3 linked regions of the Caenorhabditis elegans genome follow. The protein of the gene in region 2 purifies or fractionates together with the protein of the main gene of each other region. This does not show direct contact. Each region holds a gene or a part of one and is shown on either strand. Other genes may lie near its edges.

Region 1 (7,482 bases), about 10 Mb from region 2:
GGACCTGCTGCTTCAGGAACCGGAACCTTCTCCTCGGGAACTTCCTCTTTCTTCGCCTTCTTCACCTTCGGAGCATCATCATTGTCCTTCTTAGCCTTTTTCGTATACTTCTTCTTGTAGGCAGTCGAGCTGGACGGGCAATAGTCCTCATCATCCCGCTCCGCGGATTCTCGACTTTTACGTTTCTGCTTCAACCCCATCGGCTTATTCTTGGCATTCTGAATCTTCGTCTGAATCTCAATCTGCTTCCTCACCGAGATCATAATCTTATTCTTGTCGTCAGTGGGCAGGATCGCGTTCTTCTCGGGACCCAATCTCAACTCTCGATCCATCCAGCGCTCCATTTCGGCCTTCATGATTTGTGACGCCGTCCAAATATTCTTCTCCTGCTCACGCATGTCAGAACCTTCCTGATTGGCTTCTGAAATGTAGCGAATATTAGTAAAACCGCTATACAAACTAGTAAATTGCTTACCTGTAATCTTCTCAAGCAAGACGTTTCGCATGTACATCCAATGAAGAAGTTCGAAATTCGGAAAGTAGAACTTCTCCTCGCTTCTAATTTCCTTACGAATCGCGTTTTCGAGATGGTACACGCGCATTTGCATCTCAAGATTTCCCAAATGCAAGAAGTTTCCTCCAAAAACGAGCGAATCGACTGGAGTGAGAACCGCGTGAATCCAACCAGCCGGGATGAGCAGTGTCTGACCTTCCTTGATCACAACTCGCTTAACAGCTCCGTTGGCAATGTCACCGAACCATGTAGTGGTGTCCGGAGATGTCTCGTGTGCTTGATAAGCTGCAAAGTTCTGCTCCGTTGGCGCGGCGATGTAGAAGATTTTCTCGCCCTGAAAATAGAGTTAATAAGCTTTGAGAAAACCAATTTCAGTTGAAAGAAGGGTATTTCGAACATTACGATCCTAAATGTGCTCAAATCAACGAATTTCGTGATGAGGCTTCTCAAAAATGCTTTTAAAATCTCGGAAAATAGGAGATTTTAGCCAAATTTAGTCTTTTTTTTTTAATTTTGAACCTCCAAAAAAACCAAAAAAATATTGAGAATTTTTTCAGAAGTTTCAAACGAAATTCGTTAATTTGAGAACATTTTGGCGGGGTCAGAACGTTCACAATCCGCGGAACCATTTATATTCCTTCAATAATTATACCTTCAAAATGTGATAGTAGACGCTACTACCACCAAAGTCCACGTGGAAATCCGTATAAGATCCAGCCATTCCTGCGAGACAAAACTGTTCCACTTTTGGTCGCTGATCTTCTGGAAGATATTCTTCTCTCTGGAGGAGTTTAATGTACTCCGCTCCACTGACATCAGGCCACAGGCGGTTGACCATTGAGATTTCCTGGACAAATCTTGGCGGCTTAGCGATTTCTTTCATCCTGGAAATGTTAATTAATTAATTTTTCAATTGTTTTCAGTTAATAAACTCACTCATTATTGTCCGAGAATTCAAGGGACAGAAAATTGTACAAGAGTGGTCTGTTTTTAGTGTCGCGAAAAAGTTTTCTGAACGTATCAAGCTTCATCGAATAGGTGCTCTGATTATAGACATCGATCGTGTCCACTTCATAATCCGATCCCATAATTTTCACAACATCCTCCAAATCGAATCCAGGCTTCGGCATTGTCATATTGAGGCCGTCCATGTCTTTGACCATAAAAACTTTTCCCCAGTTGTCAGCTCCTCCGAGTTTTTCGAATTCTCTGCGGAATTCGTAGCCATCTTCGACAATGCAAACCTCATCGTCGGTTCTAAAGAATACAAATTTAATTTTAAATAATCTTTAAGGGAGGTCTGGGTTTTTTGCTTGTTTAGACTCAAAATGTGCCGGAATGAACGAAAAACATTATTATAGGTGATAAATTCAAGTTTTTTCGTTGATTTATGTACATTTGAAGCCAATAGGTAATCAAAAAAGGCCAATTTTAGTAAACTGACAGCTCAGAATGTACCAAATAAACGAAAAATGTGAGAAAACGGCAAAAATGGGAGTTTTCAGCTGAGATTAACTCTTTTTCTTGAAATTTTTGTGAAGTCTTCGTTCATTTTGGCGTATTTCGAGTCTTCACAAATAACAACCAAGTCATCTTTTAATGAAAATTCCCTTACGGTGAGGGAACAGTATTTTCTCTGGTGATGAAATCCTCAATCCAAGTTTTTGAGCCAACTTCAATTCCGAGATGCTTCTCGTTCGGACTGTACCAGCGATAACGATGTGGGGCGACGACTTTGTATCCTAAAATAATAAATAAATATATTTAATTGCAAGCTATTCGATGAAAAAACTTACGAATGCTATGTCCGGTATGTGGAACGCATTTGGGGCAGAAAAATTTCTCATACAGGTAATACTCAAATTGCTCGAGGCCTGAGCACAGAAAATGGTACCAGGTTTGGCAAGAGTCACAGCCAATCCATTGGAAGTCATTTTTCTTGTGATGGTGAGATTTCTTCTTGCTCATCAGTGGCTTTTCCTTTTCCTTCTTCTTTTCCTCTTCAAGAGCAATTAGATCATCTTCATGAGTAAATTTTCCGCATCCTCCACATCGATCCGATTCCTTTGGAGTTTTCTGCTCTGGGACATCATCTTCTTCACTGTCCGAGTCCACCTCAAGCTTCAATTCTTCTTGAACTTCTTTCTTTTTTGTTTTCATTTCGTCGAAATTCGAAATTGAAACGAAACGGAATGGAGGCTGGAATAAAATTTGATGATATTTATCAATTAATTTTTTTTCTTCATTTAAAAGTTCAGTATGATATTGCCACGGGAAATTTGAATTTTTTCAAAAATTTATAAATTTATAAATAAATTTTTTTTGAATGAAAATAATCTTCCACATTTCAGAATAAACCATACCTCAGATCCGTTGCTGACGTAGTTCTGATTTGACTCCATCTTCGGCGCTTCCGCTTCCATCTTGTTGCTCATTGCAGCCTGATTATCCGATGAATCTGTCACATGTGGCTCGATTTTAGGCTCGCTCTTCGGATTGTGCTGCTTTCTCCTCGGATCTTTTGGAGCGCCCATCTTGTTGTAAGCTCTCGCCTGGAAAATTACGTTGAGAAATGGAGGAAGTTCAGTGAAATCGGAGGTTACACTCACTTTCATGAGCACTGATTCTATCGCAAAATCAACCGAATTCTGAGATGAGACTTTTTTTAAAATTTTAAATGAATAAAACACTTACTCTATCCATTTCGGAAACCGATTCATGGGAATTGCCATTCAAATGATTTTGAGGAGCTGCGACGCTTGCTTCCTGTAATCAATATCATTGAATAATCGCAGAAAAATAAAAAATCGTACAGAAACTAATGGCGTTTGATGCTCAGTAGAGGAAAGAGCCGGTTGAGAGGCTGTGTATGACATTCCTGGCTCGCCGATTGCCGATTCGTGATTCTTATGGTCGGAATGCTGATCCATCATTAGAAGTGCTGATTGGTCTCGAGAAAACTCGTTTTTTTGTATATTTATATCATTACCATCCATTTGGAATGTGTAGATTCTGGAAAACAACGATTTTTAACGGAAAACTCGAAAACTTCAACGAATAGTCGATTGAAAGGGAAACAACGGACAAAATAACATGAAAATAGCTTCGAAATGTTTAAATTTATTTCTGTTACAACATTTTTCAATAAAAAACTCCAGAAAAATGATGGAAAACTGAAATATATGCTGAAAAAACTGTAAGCCTCGAGGAGATGTGAAGAAGAAGAGAAACGAGACGCAGCATGCGAAACAAGAGACACTGCGAAACGGGGGAACGTGAGTCGCGATGAAATTTACGAGTTTGTGGGATTAAATACTAATTAGTAGATAAACTTTAAGATGAAAATATCAATATTGATTAGTTGAATTGATTGCAATTCTGAATACAAAAAATTTTTAACGAGAAAATCAATTTCTGCCTGTCCACTTCCGGGTTTTGGTGTCTCGCATTCACCGTTCACTCGCTTCGCAGTGTCTCCGTCTTTCTCACCTTCCGTATTCTCACACTTGGCACGTAGCCAAGCGGCTGGTCTCGCAACGATTGTTTTTGTTTTCCGTCAGCCGTCTCTGCGCCTTTAACCTCTCACAGCCTGCCGATTATTTTTTAAGCAGATTTTTACTATTTTTCAGCTTTCAAGCTTCATCCATTAGCAAAATCAAATAATTTTTTGATTCATTGTGTAGAATTAACGATTTTCGTATAGTTTCTGTTTTTATAACCGCCTGAATCGTATTCTCTGTTTCGTTTTCTATGGATTATCATGCTTGCTCAATTACTCTGTAAATTTAAACGATTTATTGCAGGATGCTGAACCGTGCTGTGCTCTCCTTGGCTAGAAGCCAACATGTCATCCGTCGCTCGCTTCACAAGGGAGTTGACTCGACCCCACCACTCCGTTTCACCTCTGTCAGCGAGAAGGTAATTTTTTATTTGCTAAATGTCTTGAACTTATCCTTGTGAGCAGTAAAACTTAAAATACCACTAGCTCACCAAAAAAAACTAAATTTCAGTTTGTACATTCGTTTGAATGGATTTGAAAAATTAATTTCTGAACTAAAAGATACAGTTTTGAAATTTGTCTCACTTTTAATTTAGCTGCTCAAAAACATATTTATCCAGATATCCATATTATTCACTATAACACCAATTTTTTCAGGTTGCCCTTTACGGACTCATCTGCGTCGCTTTCATGGCATACCCAACTTCCGTCCTCTTCAGACTTGATAGTCTTCGCCCAAGACCGGATAATGCTCTCTCCCCAGAAGTCCAAGAAGAGATTGACGCCCGTGTTGCCGCCCGCAGACAGTAGAAGTAATATTATGCCACGAGCCATTGTGTAGACTTTTGAGAACAACAATAAATCGATTCTTGTTTTCTCTTCGCTTTTTCTCAATTTTATTCGCTGTCAAATGTGGTTTATCCATCCATGAAAGATAAATGTTCGATTCGGTTTTTCATTTAGAATTTTTTTGATAATTGTTTTAAAGATGGTACGTCAATTCACCTGGAGAGGAACGATTTCTCAGCCGTTCGCGATTAAACTTTTCAAAGGAATTTGGAATTCACATCCAAGATTCGCAACTCGAACAGTAATGGTGCAGAACAATGATGTCGATGGAGCTTTCGGACTTCTTAACAGGTTTTCTTTGGAAAAATTCCCAGAACATAATTTCAAGATTGAAATAATTTCAGATTGATGGATTCAGAAGGAATGCTGAAAATCATTCGCCGCACTCAATTCTATCAGAAGCCCTACATGCAACGAAAAACACTGTCGATGGAAGCATCAACGGCGATTTTCAACGAGGACATGAACCGGAAAATGAAATTTCTCGTTCGAAAAAATCGTCCCGACAAGCATCCCGGACAAGTGACGTCCTAATTTCGATCTCAGAAAATAGTTGTTTTGAGTTTTTTGTTTTGTTTTGTTTTACAGCAATAAAAGTGTAAATTAATTGAGAATTTAGAAACAAGGATATTGGTTTTAATGTAAAAAGTTGAGGATCGTCGGTATGGATTTTAAGGATTGCACACGTAGAATGAGGAGAAACAGGCGCCGCAGCGCCCGCGGGGCGCTTGTCGCGGCGAGACCCGTGCCGGAGGAAAATGCCTGCGCCTTTAGTTTGCTACTGTCTCTCTCACTCCGCTGTCACGGGAAAACATCCCATTCTCGGGTCGCTGCGCTCCCCCGAGAAAAGGTTTTCCCTTGTTCCTAGCTCCGTTCGAGAGAAATGAGGTTTAAGGATTAAGGTATGGATTGCAAGGGAAGCCAAACATGGAAAAACCTGATCAATGAATTTTTGCGGTTTTTAGTCAAAAATACAGTGACAAGTTTCGACAATAATTTATAAATAAGAAAACGCATAGAAAATAACTAAAGTTGAAACTACTGTACTTCTTAAAGGCGCATTTTTATTCGTTTCGAGACCTGATACCACATTAAAGGCACACGCTGCGGGTCTCGCCACGATCTCAGTTAATGTGGCTGTTACACGTGATTAATTTGAGGCCCCACGAAAAGGGGAGCAGAACGAAAAGGGGATCTGCAAAAATGGGATCTGCGAAAAGGGATATACGAAAAGGGGAGCTGGCACTGTGCCAAACGCACAAAACGCTTTTTTATTCTCATCCAACGCACGACTTTGTTATAACCACACTCCGTTATTACGCATCGCGCGTTGTTTAGCGAAAAATACAAAAAAAAAGTCGTGCGCTGAATGAGAATAAAAAAGCGGTTTGTGCGTTTGGCACAGTGCCAGCTCCCCTTTTCGTATCTCCTCTTTTCGCAGATCCCCTTTTTGCATATCCCCATTAATTTCAAGTAATTGTGTAGAAAACTAGCCGAATTTCCAACAACCTAACAAAATTCGAAAAAGGGATACAGAAAAATGCGACTTTTGAATTTGAGGTGCAAACGTGCTCCAACGCCATAATGAAAATGCTCCGCCTCCAGACTTTGGGTCTCGTTAGGTTTTGGCTTGTATATAATCAATTTGGACATTAAAAAATAATAACTTGAAACGTTTGTTTTTTTTATTTTGCCGCCAACACCTAACGAGACCCAACGTTTAGGGGCGGAGCGTTTTCACCTGGAGCGCGCTTGCACCTCGACCTCAATAATGCGCATTTTTCTGCGCTTCCATAATAAATTGGATTAATCCCTTCTCGTGTTCCCCTTTGATATACGAATCCAATATATCCTTTTTCGTTTCATTGCGCAACTGTTCTTCCTCCATCTCGCTGTCATCCAAAACCGCCATCGAACATGCCAAACTGCTTCCACACCTCGTTATCCATACATGCAACCACACAAACCGGTTTTAGATTTAGCTTCTTGTACTTTCCCCCATCTTCGTTCTATAAAGACATCGTCCACCGTCACTTTGCCATTTCTTTCCATTTTCGTCGTCTAGAACTATGACTGTAGACAACGCGGCGATTGCCACCTGGACAAGTGTCCTGGTGAGCGTTGCGTGCATCTCGTTTTGTGCATTTTTTGCCGCTTCGGTGTGTGAGGATATCAATCAATTTTTGGATGATTCCTTGTTGAGCTTCAAAGAGGGACAGGGACGAACTGATGATGCTTGGAATGAGGTGGTGTTCTTGAATGACAAGAAATTCAAGTCAGAGCTCCTCGTCAGCAACTCGGCCACCGTTCGTCAGAAGCGTTCCGATCTTCCGGCTCATTGTAGTAAGTTTTACAGAGGATTTTTAGACTGTAGTATAATATACAAATGACCGTGGAGAACGTGGATAACAGTACTTTTTGTACTTTTTTAGACTGAAAATTTAAATCGCACATTCAACTTGAGTATAAATTTATATATATCGTATTATTAGGTGAAAATTAAATAATTTACTGCTAAAAAAACTGAAACTTCTATTAACCTGACGCGAAATTAACCGATTTTGTCGTAATAATACGGTACCTGGTCTCAACACGACAACATTTCGTTAAATGCAAAAAG
Region 2 (3,449 bases):
AATTGTCCATCGTTTTGACTGTACAATCACAATTCACACATTCCATCGCTTGCTTCGAATTTTGAAACTGAAGGAATAATTGATTTCCTTTTTTTTCATTCAACTTTAGAATTTTAAAAATTAGGCTGCAATGCTAGAGCAACACGTTAACTAAATGCCTTAGTAAATTTTCAATTTATGAAAAAGAGTGAAGAAGAGTTAAGGAATTAAGCACATTTGTAAAAAATAATGAGAATGGTTGCAGTGGTGTTGCAAAATGTCCAAAAAAGTGATACACAACATGTACATAAAATTGGAGGGAAATTTCACAACTTTTGAATGGGGATGATGAACATCCCACAGTGAAAGCTACCAAAGAAATAAAACTGGGAGCGAATGGGTTGGGGAAATTGACTACAATTGTGATGAAAAAGACGAGAGAGATTAGTTGAATATGGAGGGGAGGGGATTCAAATAAATAATATCTACAGAATTTTCAAAAAAAAAAGGTTTGATTTAATATATTTTGCGGTGTGAATTGTAAATTTTCGAGTAGATTGAGTCGTGGATTGTGCCTAGTTTAGCGTTGAGCTTTCGAGTGATCGATGAGCCATTGGAGGGTGATATCTGGAAAACAATTCAGTTTAGAATGGTTCAAAGATTTAAAAAATTACCAATATTCTCCTTCTCTTTGCATGAAATAGAATAGCAGCAAATCTCGCGATTCTGGATTGATGACAGATTCATTCTTTCGATCAATTGCCGCTCATCAAGTGCTCCAGGCAAATCCTTCTTGTTTCCGAGCACCAAAACTGGAATAGCGTCGAGCTGTGGCTTGTCCAACAGCTGCATAAGCTCATTTCTGGATGCTTCGAGCTTCTCCTCGTCGGCAGCGTCCACCATGAAGACGATGGCGTTGACACCGCGGCAATATCGTTCCCACATCGAGCGGAACCGTGGCTGGCCCCCGATATCCCATAATTTGATCGTCACGTTGCCTTTGGTGATCTTCCGCATATTGAATCCGACTGTTGGGATCATATCTTCTGTGAATTGGCCGCTCTAAAGTGAAGAACATTGAATTTAAATTTATTTTCCAGAAAAACTAACAGCAATAACATTGACAAATGTCGTTTTTCCAGAGTTTTGGAGCCCAACAAGTGTCAACTCCATCTCCTCTTTCCAAAAAAGACTGCGAATCCAGTCGAGAACCTTATTCACCATAGCCAACATCTTGAATATTGATGTTGAATGAGGAAATTCCTGAAAAGTGCAATTCGATTGAAAAGGGTGTGTGTGTGAGAGAGCACAAAGAAAAACAGAAGGGTTTAACGGAAAACCGCTATTAATTTTGGAGCAAGCTCGCTTTTGCTGTTGAAAAAAAAACAAGTAGAAATATTGATTTTCCTTATCGCAAAATTTATTTTGCAGTAACTTTCACGAAATCAAAACCAATGAATCATCGAGAATAGTCAACAAAACACGTGATGTCTATAAAATTTTGAGAGAAACGTTTCAAAACAATAGAATTGCTAAAAGCAGATAGTTTCATTGGATAATATCGGATTGCAATAAGAGTTTTCAGTGAATATAGTCTTAATTTTTACAAATTTCTCAAGCGGACACAGTTTTTTGCTCAGTTTGCTCGATTTTCTAAAATCTGAATTTACGTTTGTCTAACCCATTCTCAATGAATGTATGGAATTTTTGAAAAAACTAATGAATAATCAGTCTATTTCCTTGAAAATTCTCAAAAAATCGATAGAAAATCCCGAAAATCCGTCGAAAATTACGAAATCCAAAGCCAAATCAGTGCGACAAGGAGCCAATCGAACGACCGCTGACATCAAAGGCGCACGCAGTTTCGAGGACGGGTTTCGCCGCGATCGAGTGTGTCGATTTACGCAGCACGCGGCACACCGGCGACCATCCTTCACCGTTTTTCAGCTTTTCAGCGTTGAATGCACGCTTCGGAAGCCGTTCAACAACAACTAAAGGACGACTGGGATAATCGCGAGTTTGAGCAGGTTAGTAGACGGAAAAAAATGATGGAAATCGATTGAAATGTGAATGAAAATTGATTAAAAATGGTTGTTGAAATTTTTGAATATTTTTAACTGCGGTGTTGAAATAGCTTTTCACTTCAGTAGGTTGTGATTTTATACAATTTTACAACAAATATTCATGTGTGAATTCATATCTCCCACACTAACCCGTACTAACTTTCAGATTATTGCCGATAACATCAAGAACATCGCTAACTTCTTGTCCAGCTTTGGTTTGTAGAAAAATTATTATTTTAAATTAATTCCTTTAAAAAATATCTGATTTCTTCCAGAGCTCTCTTGCCGCACAAAACTAGCGACTCTCAGCGACAAGCTTAACCTTTTGGAACGAAAGGTCGAATTTCTTGAAGCCCGTGTCACCAAAGGAGATACTCTTTCGTAATAATGTCTGCAACTGCCGGAAGAGTCGTCCGTGCCGGACAACACGCCGTTCGCACCGTCGCTCCAATCAAATCCAACAATTCCGCCGAGGCACGCATGTCGGTTCTCGCCGCTTATAAGGAGTTCCAACGTCTCACTCCAAAGTTCTGGTGGGATTTCGGACTTCATGATATGCCGCTCGGCGTGTTCCGTGCTGTCATCAAGAAGCAATTCACAAAGAACGGACATCTCACCGATGTTCGTGTCGTTGACAGACTTGTCGGAGAAACTCATCAGGTTTTTGAATAAAATTTAAATTTTCTAAACTCTAATTGTCACTTTCAGCACATGAAATCGATCCGTTACGCATTCTACAACCCGGATCACGTGCGCAACTACCTGTTCGCTGAAAATGTCGAAGCCAAGCCAAAGGACTTCCTCTCCAAATTCCTCAACGGAAAGGAATAGATTTTTTATTTTTCAGTGTTTTATGTGTAATTGTAAAGTAAATTCTCGTATTTTAAATCGAATCGGCTGATACTAGAAGGAATAAAATCTGATTTTTTGACTTAAAAATTGATTTGGCAGGTTCTACGACCTAATTTTATTTCTTTTTCGATTTTTTTTGTTTATTTTGATTGAATTTTATTTTTCCTGGTAGATGATCCCTTCACGAAGTGCCAGAATCATCGCAAAGCTACAACGACTACACTCGACTACTTCAGCCGCTTCAGTATCTTCTATTGATGTAAAAGAGGTAAAACATATAAAAATAAGCTATTTATCTGTAGAAAAATTATTTTAGGTCGAAAAATTCGGAGACTTGTCTGCAGAATGGGCTGATGAACTGGGTCCCTTCCACGCACTTCACTCATTAAACAGGATTCGAGTTCCTTGGATTGTCGATAATGTTAGAAAAAGCGATCAGAAGGCTCCTCCTCGATTAGTGGACGTTGGAAGCGGAGGGGGTCTTTTGTCGATTCCACTGGCCAGAAGTGGATTCGATGTTACAGGAATTGATGCGACGAAGCAAGCTGTAAGGGA
Region 3 (8,176 bases), on a different chromosome or scaffold from region 2:
TGAGAACAATGCAGAGGCAACGACAAGTGGCATGCTACTCCCCTGTTATGGAAGAAGAGGCTCTTGAAGTTCGTCAACCGAAGATGACTGGTCAAGAAGAAAAGCTAAAAAGGAAATAATCTCTCTTATCGCAATTTCTCACTGATCACTTCGGATTAGGTCTTTTTACAATCTTTTAAATTTTTATTGACTATCTTTTACATTTTTATTATGTATTTACATTGTTATTTTTATATTAATAAACGAATTTTTAATAATAACACGCGTTTTTCAATAATCAAATGTGAGATTATACGATTTAGGGAATTTCAGGGCTCTAAAACTCGAAAAAATTGGCCAAAATCGAGAAACATTGCGAAAAACTGTTTAAAGTATCGATTTTCTTCAATATCAGCAACATACAATCCTTTAAAATTATTATTTTTTGTAAATTCGATAAAAATTCATTTATTTTTCACAATTTCTGCCCGAAAATTGCCGAAATAACCAGCGTTTCTATAACTAAGAAAGTGTCGTCAATTAAAATGCCGCGTCCGCAAAATGTCGTATGAAACTTTTCGCTGAGTATCAAACGTTGAATATTCAGTCAGCTAAATTTTACTACGGTAGAGATTTTACAGCCACGTACGGTTCGCCGGGCCGTGGTGGCCAGTGCGATTTATATTTTTTGATAATATTGCGCAACATATTTGACGCGCAAAATATTTCTTAGCGAAAACTATAGTAATTCTTTAAATGACTACTGTAGTGCTGGTGACAATTTACGGAAATAATGGATTAATCGATAATACGAAAAAAAAAACTAAAGAAAATTGAATATCGATGTCACAATTTTCATTCCAAAATAGAGCCCGTAAATCGACACAATCACTACTGTTCTCATTGAAAGAGTTACTGTGGGTTTCGCTACGAGATATTCATCGCGCCAAATATGTTGCACAATCCGCAATCTCAGAATTAAGTGTTCCGGTTACGATAGCTGAAGTTGCCAGAGCTCGAAGACGTTAATCTGGTGACCTTACCAAGTCAACACATTAAAATAGTGGTTTTTTTGAATTTTCAGAAAAAAAAAGTAGCCAAAACATTCTGGAAAAAGAGAAGCAAAACTACTTCGAAGAGAAAAATAAAAAAAAGCTAGGATTCCATAAAGAGTTGTAAAAACCTGGATGATCCTGAAACCTGAAAAAAATCCTAAAACTTATTGAAATGACTTCCAATTCCATGGTTTTCGTTGGTTTATGTACATATACCATTCATCTTAACATTGCTTCAATGCAGTTGCAGTTTCCAAAAATGAATGATTCAAATGTTTAAATAGGAAACAATATATTTTAAAAGTTTACAGCTTTATTTAAAAATCATTAACCAAAAAATATTATGAATAAGTACTGTCTTTAGCCAGTGACTCGTGCCAGGAAATTGAACCCGTAAGACCCTCATCGTCAACTGTTGATCTCCTTCACCAAACGTAGAGGCGACAGCACCTATCTTGCCAGAATGATCGCTCCATATGATGACCATAGGCGCAATCATTCTCTCAAGATAATATAGAAGGAGGGTAAATGCATTAAAAATTTTAAAAACATTGATTGAAAATAGTATTCCAAAACGGCAGCAATAATAGAAACTTTAGAAACTGAATCAATTCCAGTGTATAGAAAAACTTACAATTTAAACATTTTATAAATTGAAATTTTTTTTTGGAATATTGTTGCCAAAAAATGTGCCAAGATAACCAAATATCATAGTAGAACGTTTCAAAAAATTTGAAACTAATTTTGTAACCCTTTTTGGAATTCGCCGATTGTTTCAAATAAAAATTGTAAGGATTCGAGCATGCGAAATTACTACAGTTTTCTAAAAATGTGGCTAAAACTCAATAACCTGCCATTTTTATTGCCAATAAAAAATTTTCAAAACATGTTACTATGATATTTGGACATCTTGGTGGCATATATGTGGTTTTTAACAGTTTCCCCACTGCTACTCCACCTTTAAGTCCTGGGAACATTTCCGGCAAATCGGCAAATTGCCGGAACTGAAATTTCTGGCAAATCGGCAACTTACCGGAATTGAAAATTTCCGGCAAATCGGCAAACCCGCAAATTTGCCGATTTGCCGGAATTGAAATTTCCGGCAAATCGGCAAACCTGCAAATTGCCGATTTGCCGGAAAAACGGCACTTTGCCGAAATTTAAATTTCCGGCAAATCGGCAAACCTGCAAATAGCCGATATGCCGGAAAAACGGCACTTTGCCGGAACTGAATTTTCTGGCAAATCGGCAAATTGCCGAAATTGAAATTTCCGGCAAATCGAAAAACCTGCAAATTGCTGATTTGCCGGAAAAACGGCACTTTGCCGAAATTTAAATTTCCGGCAAATTGGCAAACCTGCAAATAGCCGATTTGTCGTAAAAACGGCACTTTGCCGGAACTGAAATTTCCGGCAAATCGGCAAACCTGCAAATTGCCGTTTTGCCGGAAAAACGGCACTTTGCCGAAATGTAAATTTCCGGCAAATCGGCAATCCTGCAAATTGCCGGAAAAACGGCACTTTGCCGAAATTTAAATTTCCGGCAAATCGGCAAACCTGCAAATTGCCGGAAAAACGGGACTTTGCCGGAATTGAAATTTCTGGCAAATCGGCAAACCTGCAAATTGCCGGAAAAAAGGCACTTTGCCGGAATTTAAATTTCCGGCAAATCGGCAAACCTGCGAATTGCCTGAATTGAAATCTCCGGCAAATTGGCAAATTGCCGAGTTGCCGGAATTAAAATTGCCGGTGAATTGCCGCGTGGAAAAAGTAGCTGAAAAATGTTTAAAATGGCAGGACCTGATAATATCGCATGTGAATTTTTTTATTCAGAGATCGTGTGTCAAAAAAAACTAACATCAACCTAACCAACACGAGATCGGCTACTAATCAGTAAGTGATAACTTTTGAAACTTATTTTAATTGAAAAAAAAAACCATTTTCAAGTTTTCATATTCTAATGCTTATAGAAGAGACAAGTATCAAGAATCGAGGAAGCGATCTGCTAATTATGTATCAATTCAAAGCTCACCGGATCTCCCCATCAAGAAAAATCTACTAACGTCAATCGCGCAACAAGAAATAAGAAGCCATCGAAGACATTGGGACAGTACATGGACGGCGAAGAGTTACGAGAGGATTTAAAAGAAAAAGGGAAAACTATGGATAACGATCTGAAAAAAAGTTTGAAGGAAGCACCTAGTGAGAGTTACTGTTACGTTCTAATAAACCCATACGTTCTGGACAAAGACGTGAGGGAAGTAGATCTGGCTACGTTCCTCTCGTCAATATTCTACGTGGGCAAAGGAAAAGGGGAAAGAGCAATGGCCTACTTCAAGGATGCTTGCGGGAACATTCAAGGAAGCCGCAAGCTTACTACAATTGACCAGGCTTGGAACAAAAAAGGATTTGTTTATAAACACATAATTTGTACGTTTAGATAAGAAAAATCTATAAATTGAATTGCTTTTTAGGGAGACCAATTATCGAAAATCTAGCACTCGCCAGGGAAGCTGCTATGATATTTTTTTTCAAAAATTTGGCTGGAAAATCGAACTTTACTAACAAATACGTAAGTTAAATTAATTGGCTAAAAAAGATTCTAATATAGTAAAATTTTCAGAACGGCAGTTTCAAAGGAGAGTCGGCGTTTTGGAGCAGGGAAGAGAAATGCAACTACGGCGTATACCTGCTAGAAACGTAAGTTTGAAAACAAAATATCAATAATTTAACGTCTAAATTTTAGAATACACCGTTCAATCCAAACCAATGGCTGTGAGACTGTCAAAAAAGAAGATGTTGCTCCAAGAGCCGCGATCCAACAAAGTCCTCGACTCTAAACTTTTAATTTAATTGTTATTTTTAAATTCCCTCATTCACATTACCCAACTTCACTATGCTACTGACTATTTAAAATTGCTCAAAATTCAAATATTCCACTTGAATAAACCTTATTATGAGAAATTAATATTTGACCTTTTTTATTTGAAAATAAACTGTTCCCGCCGTTTTCTTTATTTTTTTGCATTGTCGTCATATCGCGCGCAAAGTCCGCAGTGACACCCGCGTGGTGTTTGCGTACCCCGCAATTGTCATCCTCACAATTTTCGAACGCGACTCCCGATTTCTTCGTTTTTTGCTGTAAATTTCGGATATTTCCGGTCAAAAATTTATTAAAATATCTGGATAATGGTAATTATCAATGTCGTATTGTGTTTTTATCGATTTTCTCAGTTGTTTCCACGAAATTTCTGTTAATTTTCACCGAAATCTGTTTCAGAGAGGAATGGAGCGATTCCTGCGACTCGGAGGTCTTGGTGGAAACCTTGGAACGGTAATTGCATTCTGTTTCGATAGAAAATCATCTAAAATTTCGAATATTTCCAGTTCGGAGCCAATCCACAGGACTCGAATCAAGTCGACACCTCGGAAACCGTCTACATTTCTTCGCTGGCGTTGCTGAAGATGCTCAAACACGGAAGAGCCGGAGTTCCCATGGAAGTGATGGGGCTGATGCTTGGAGAATTCGTCGACGACTACACCGTCAATGTGATCGACGTTTTCGCTATGCCACAGTCTGGAACCGTGAGTTTTCGTCAAAAATTGAATTTTTAAAAAAGATAATTTATTATTTTCATTACAGGGAGTCTCAGTCGAAGCGGTCGATCCAGTATTCCAGGCGAAGATGCTCGACATGCTCAAACAGACCGGAAGACCCGAGATGGTCGTCGGATGGTACCATTCCCATCCAGGATTCGGATGTTGGCTCTCCGGCGTCGACATCAACACTCAGCAGTCGTTTGAAGCGCTTTCCGACAGAGCTGTCGCCGTTGTCGTCGACCCGATTCAATCTGTGAAGGGAAAGGTTGTGATCGACGCGTTCCGTACGATCAACCCACAATCGATGGCTTTAAATCAAGAACCACGTCAAACTACCAGTAATTTGGGTCATTTGCAGAAGCCGAGCATTCAGGTTGGGGAAATTATCGGTTTTTAGTGAACATTTCAATAATTTTCGGTTTTTTTTTCAGGCCCTAATCCACGGACTCAATCGTCACTACTACTCCATCCCAATCGCCTACAGAACCCACGACCTTGAACAGAAGATGCTCTTGAATCTTAACAAGCTCTCATGGATGGACGCAGTCAGCGTCGAAAACTACTCAAAATGCGGTGAACAGAACAAGGAGCACCTCAAGGCGATGCTCAAGCTCGCCAAGAACTACAAGAAGGCGTTGGAGGACGAGAAGAACATGACGGATCAGGAGCTCGCGATCAAGAACGTCGGAAAGATGGATCCGAAGCGGCATATTGCTGATGAAGTGAGCAAGATGCTCAACGACAATATTGTGCAAAGTTTGGCCGGTATGATGGCGACGACTTCATTGCAATAATTTTTAAATCAATACTCATTTGCTTATTTTTTTATTATTTTCTCAAAAATTCCCAATTTCCTCGTTCTCTCCCCGTCTTTTTGTGTATTTTTCCCCATAATTTATTTTGAAATCATCCCAGTTCGGTGTTGGAAAACATGAATCTTCCCCGCCTTTAATCGATTTATTGTTTATGCGTTAATTTAGTCCATTTCGCTAACAACTGAGGCAGCAGCATCACATTCAGATTGTTCATATCGACCGATGGTGTGTAGTCGTTGATGAGGAGATATGGAACTTCGAGGATCGGATTCGGTCGGGTGCTCATCGTCTTTTGAGCAGCTTCGCGCTGGAGTTGAACGCCACGTGGACCATCGTAGCATTGTCTGAAATTGTGAAAGATACGGTCTCGACACGACAATCTTTTTTTTTAATTCAAAAAAGTTTCGCCTTTAAAGATTACTGTAGTTTCACTTTTAGGAATTTTCTATAAATTTTTCATTTGATTTTCACCAAAACATAATAAAAAAATATTAAAAATCGATAGAAATTCCAAAAAGTGAAATTACAGTAGTCTTTAAAAGCGCACAGCTTTCCGCGTTTAACACAATTTTGTCGTGTCGAGACCGGGTACCCCGTTTTTTAGCTCAAGATCGGGAAAACTTTGAACATTTTATTCGAAAATTTGCAGAAAACTAGTTTAATTATTATTATCATTATTAGTTTTAGGAAATTATTATTAGAAAACTAGTTTAAAAAACAGTAAACGCGCTCCACGGCCAATCGAAAGCGCTCCGCCTCCGAACCATGGGTCTCGTTAGGAATTCAGCGGCAATACCGAAAAAAATGGAGCGCGTTTACATTTTTTAAATTCATTTTTCAAATGAATTTCCGAGTTTATTTACCAAAATACTGGAAGATAATTAGTTTTTTTCGAAAAAATGCAGAAAAATCGTATTTAAAAGGATAATAAAAGCGTGTGGCAAAATTGCAAAAAGAAAATCGGCAAAGTGCCGGTTTGCCGATTTGCCGGAAATTTTCGATTCCGGAAATTTGCCGGAAATTTTCAATTCCGGTAAGTTGGCGGTTTGCCGATTTGCCGGAAATTTTCAATTCCGGTAAGTTGCCAATTTGCCGGAAAATTAAATTCCGGCAATTTGCCGGTTTGCAGATTTGCCGGAAATTTGCAATTCCGACATTTTGCCGGAAATTGCAATTCCGACAATTTGCCGGAAATTTTCAATGCCGGCAATATGCCCGTTTGCCGAATGCCGGAAGTTTTCGATTCCGGTAATTTGTCAATTTGCCGGATAATTTAAACTCCGGAATTTTGCCGATTTTCCGGCCCCCGATTTGCCGGAAATTTTCAATGCCGGCAAGTTGCCGGTTTACCGATTTGCCGTAAAAGTAGTTTTCGGAATAAATACCTAATCTGTCGATATTGGCTCCGAATGAACGCGGAGCACGTCTGCATCGCGTGTTCGACTCCATAGTGTTGAATGTTACGTTCGAAACAGACGATGAAGGGCAACGCTCCTTTGACCTGAAATCAATCACTTTTGATAAATAGAGAGAGAGATTGATCGGCGCTCATCTGTGTCTGTGTTTTGAGCCCCCCATCAATTGCTAACCTTCAAAATATCAATGACACAAGATTGAAGGCGATTCGCGTCGCACTCTTTTTGTCCGTGATTGCACGAGAATGAGCCGTCCTGTGCAAATTTGACGATTTTCAGAATTTTCAGAACAAAAAGAAATTACCCGCATTATCCTAGAGTTTCCCCATGGCACTAGCTCAAGAATCAACTGGCCCTGGAACTGATTGAACACACTGCCCAACTGATTTGCGATGAATCTGAACTTTATAAATTCCAGTCAAATCGATTTTCCTATGGCCTACTTTTGACAATATGGGCACAAGGCCTCATAGATCAAGGTGATCTTGATCGGCTGCCGCCGGTGACGGAGACCATCGCATTGCCGTTGGACCCCACACTGTTGGGCAGACTGCGGGCTGTCACACCTGGAAAGATTTTTTTCTGGATTTTGCTAATTTGGGGTCTTGGCACGATCGAAATTTTTTTGAGCAGAGCACAGCATGAGCCTAAGTCTAAGCCTAAGCTGAGCTTAAGCCAAAGCCTAAGCCTCAGCTTAAGCCTATGCCTCAACCTAAGCTTTACTCTAAGCCTAAGCTTAAGCCCCAGTCTAAGCCCCAGCCTAAGCCTATGCCTAAGCCTAAGCCTAAGCCTATTTCATTTTGTTAAAAGCATTTTCCCCCGCATTTTCCTCTGAAAAAACAACAAAAAGCACTTACCACAAGTCTGGTGGAATGTCACAAATCTGATGCGTCGGCTGATTGAACACAGAAGCGTGTGGAACCGACGGATACGCCGCCTGATAGGCTTTTATCGCATCTGGAAATAGCTTTGCTGGAATATTTATATTTTTTGACCTTGTGTCGATTTACGCAGATTGTGCACTCCTGGAGGAGATGGAGATCAAAAGATTTTGGCTTTTTCGGTCAAATACTTTGTTTGATTTTCCACGGGGAGTACACTAGATTCGTAAATCCACACACATACAGTCGCTGATATCTTCCATATTCAAAAATATTTTTTGGAAGTATGACGTCAACGGAATTGCACATGTGACGTCATCATTCCGATGAAGAGACTACCGTAGTGCGTATTCTTACTTGGACTAGGATAATTATTGTAGGGGTACTGTTGTTGCTGCTGCTGCTGAGACGCCTGTTTTTGTTGGTGAGCAT

What was found. Proteins that work in one complex are often made in the same cells at the same time.
Region 1: the proteins of Y57G11C.1147 (region 2) and F29B9.11 fractionate together in Caenorhabditis elegans (co-fractionation; one large-scale study listed by BioGRID). This does not show direct contact.
Region 3: the proteins of Y57G11C.1147 (region 2) and rpn-11 fractionate together in Caenorhabditis elegans (co-fractionation; one large-scale study listed by BioGRID). This does not show direct contact.

What each region holds. Positions count from the first base shown.
Region 1 is NC_003282.8:4,657,037-4,664,518, reverse strand, and holds F29B9.11 (Cytochrome c oxidase polypeptide VIIc), read left to right. Parts: upstream 1-4,317; 5' UTR 4,318-4,318; coding exon 4,319-4,432; intron 4,433-4,670; coding exon 4,671-4,823; 3' UTR 4,824-4,888; downstream 4,889-7,482. Other genes in the region: jmjd-1.2 (JmjC domain-containing protein), read right to left, coding at 1-421, 476-848, 1,167-1,398, 1,451-1,771, 2,130-2,256, 2,311-2,713, 2,878-3,162, 3,209-3,280 and 1 more; mrps-21 (Mitochondrial Ribosomal Protein, Small), read left to right, coding at 5,002-5,153, 5,207-5,396; col-111 (Nematode cuticle collagen N-terminal domain-containing protein), read left to right, coding at 6,932-7,205.
Region 2 is NC_003282.8:14,795,942-14,799,390, reverse strand, and holds Y57G11C.1147 (Protein BRICK1), read left to right. Parts: upstream 1-1,876; 5' UTR 1,877-1,940; coding exon 1,941-2,006; intron 2,007-2,208; coding exon 2,209-2,257; intron 2,258-2,317; coding exon 2,318-2,427; 3' UTR 2,428-2,429; coding exon of another isoform or gene 2,430-2,702; intron 2,703-2,750; coding exon of another isoform or gene 2,751-2,873; 3' UTR 2,874-2,949; downstream 2,950-3,449. Other genes in the region: Y57G11C.14 (uncharacterized protein), read right to left, coding at 1-46; arl-8 (ADP-ribosylation factor-like protein 8B), read right to left, coding at 560-606, 654-1,041, 1,090-1,212; nuo-3 (NADH dehydrogenase [ubiquinone] 1 alpha subcomplex subunit 6), read left to right, coding at 2,430-2,702, 2,751-2,873; coq-3 (Ubiquinone biosynthesis O-methyltransferase, mitochondrial), read left to right, coding at 3,067-3,162, 3,211-3,441.
Region 3 is NC_003280.10:4,040,468-4,048,643, reverse strand, and holds rpn-11 (26S proteasome non-ATPase regulatory subunit 14), read left to right. Parts: upstream 1-4,313; 5' UTR 4,314-4,319; coding exon 4,320-4,367; intron 4,368-4,420; coding exon 4,421-4,618; intron 4,619-4,676; coding exon 4,677-5,006; intron 5,007-5,064; coding exon 5,065-5,427; 3' UTR 5,428-5,582; downstream 5,583-8,176. Other genes in the region: K07D4.2 (GIY-YIG domain-containing protein), read left to right, coding at 3,148-3,463, 3,508-3,605, 3,657-3,733, 3,780-3,873; pqn-48 (Prion-like-(Q/N-rich)-domain-bearing protein), read right to left, coding at 5,591-5,792, 6,834-6,949, 7,038-7,118, 7,168-7,261, 7,307-7,429, 7,721-7,820, 8,102-8,176. UniProt on the Caenorhabditis elegans protein: Metalloprotease component of the 26S proteasome that specifically cleaves 'Lys-63'-linked polyubiquitin chains. The 26S proteasome is involved in the ATP-dependent degradation of ubiquitinated proteins.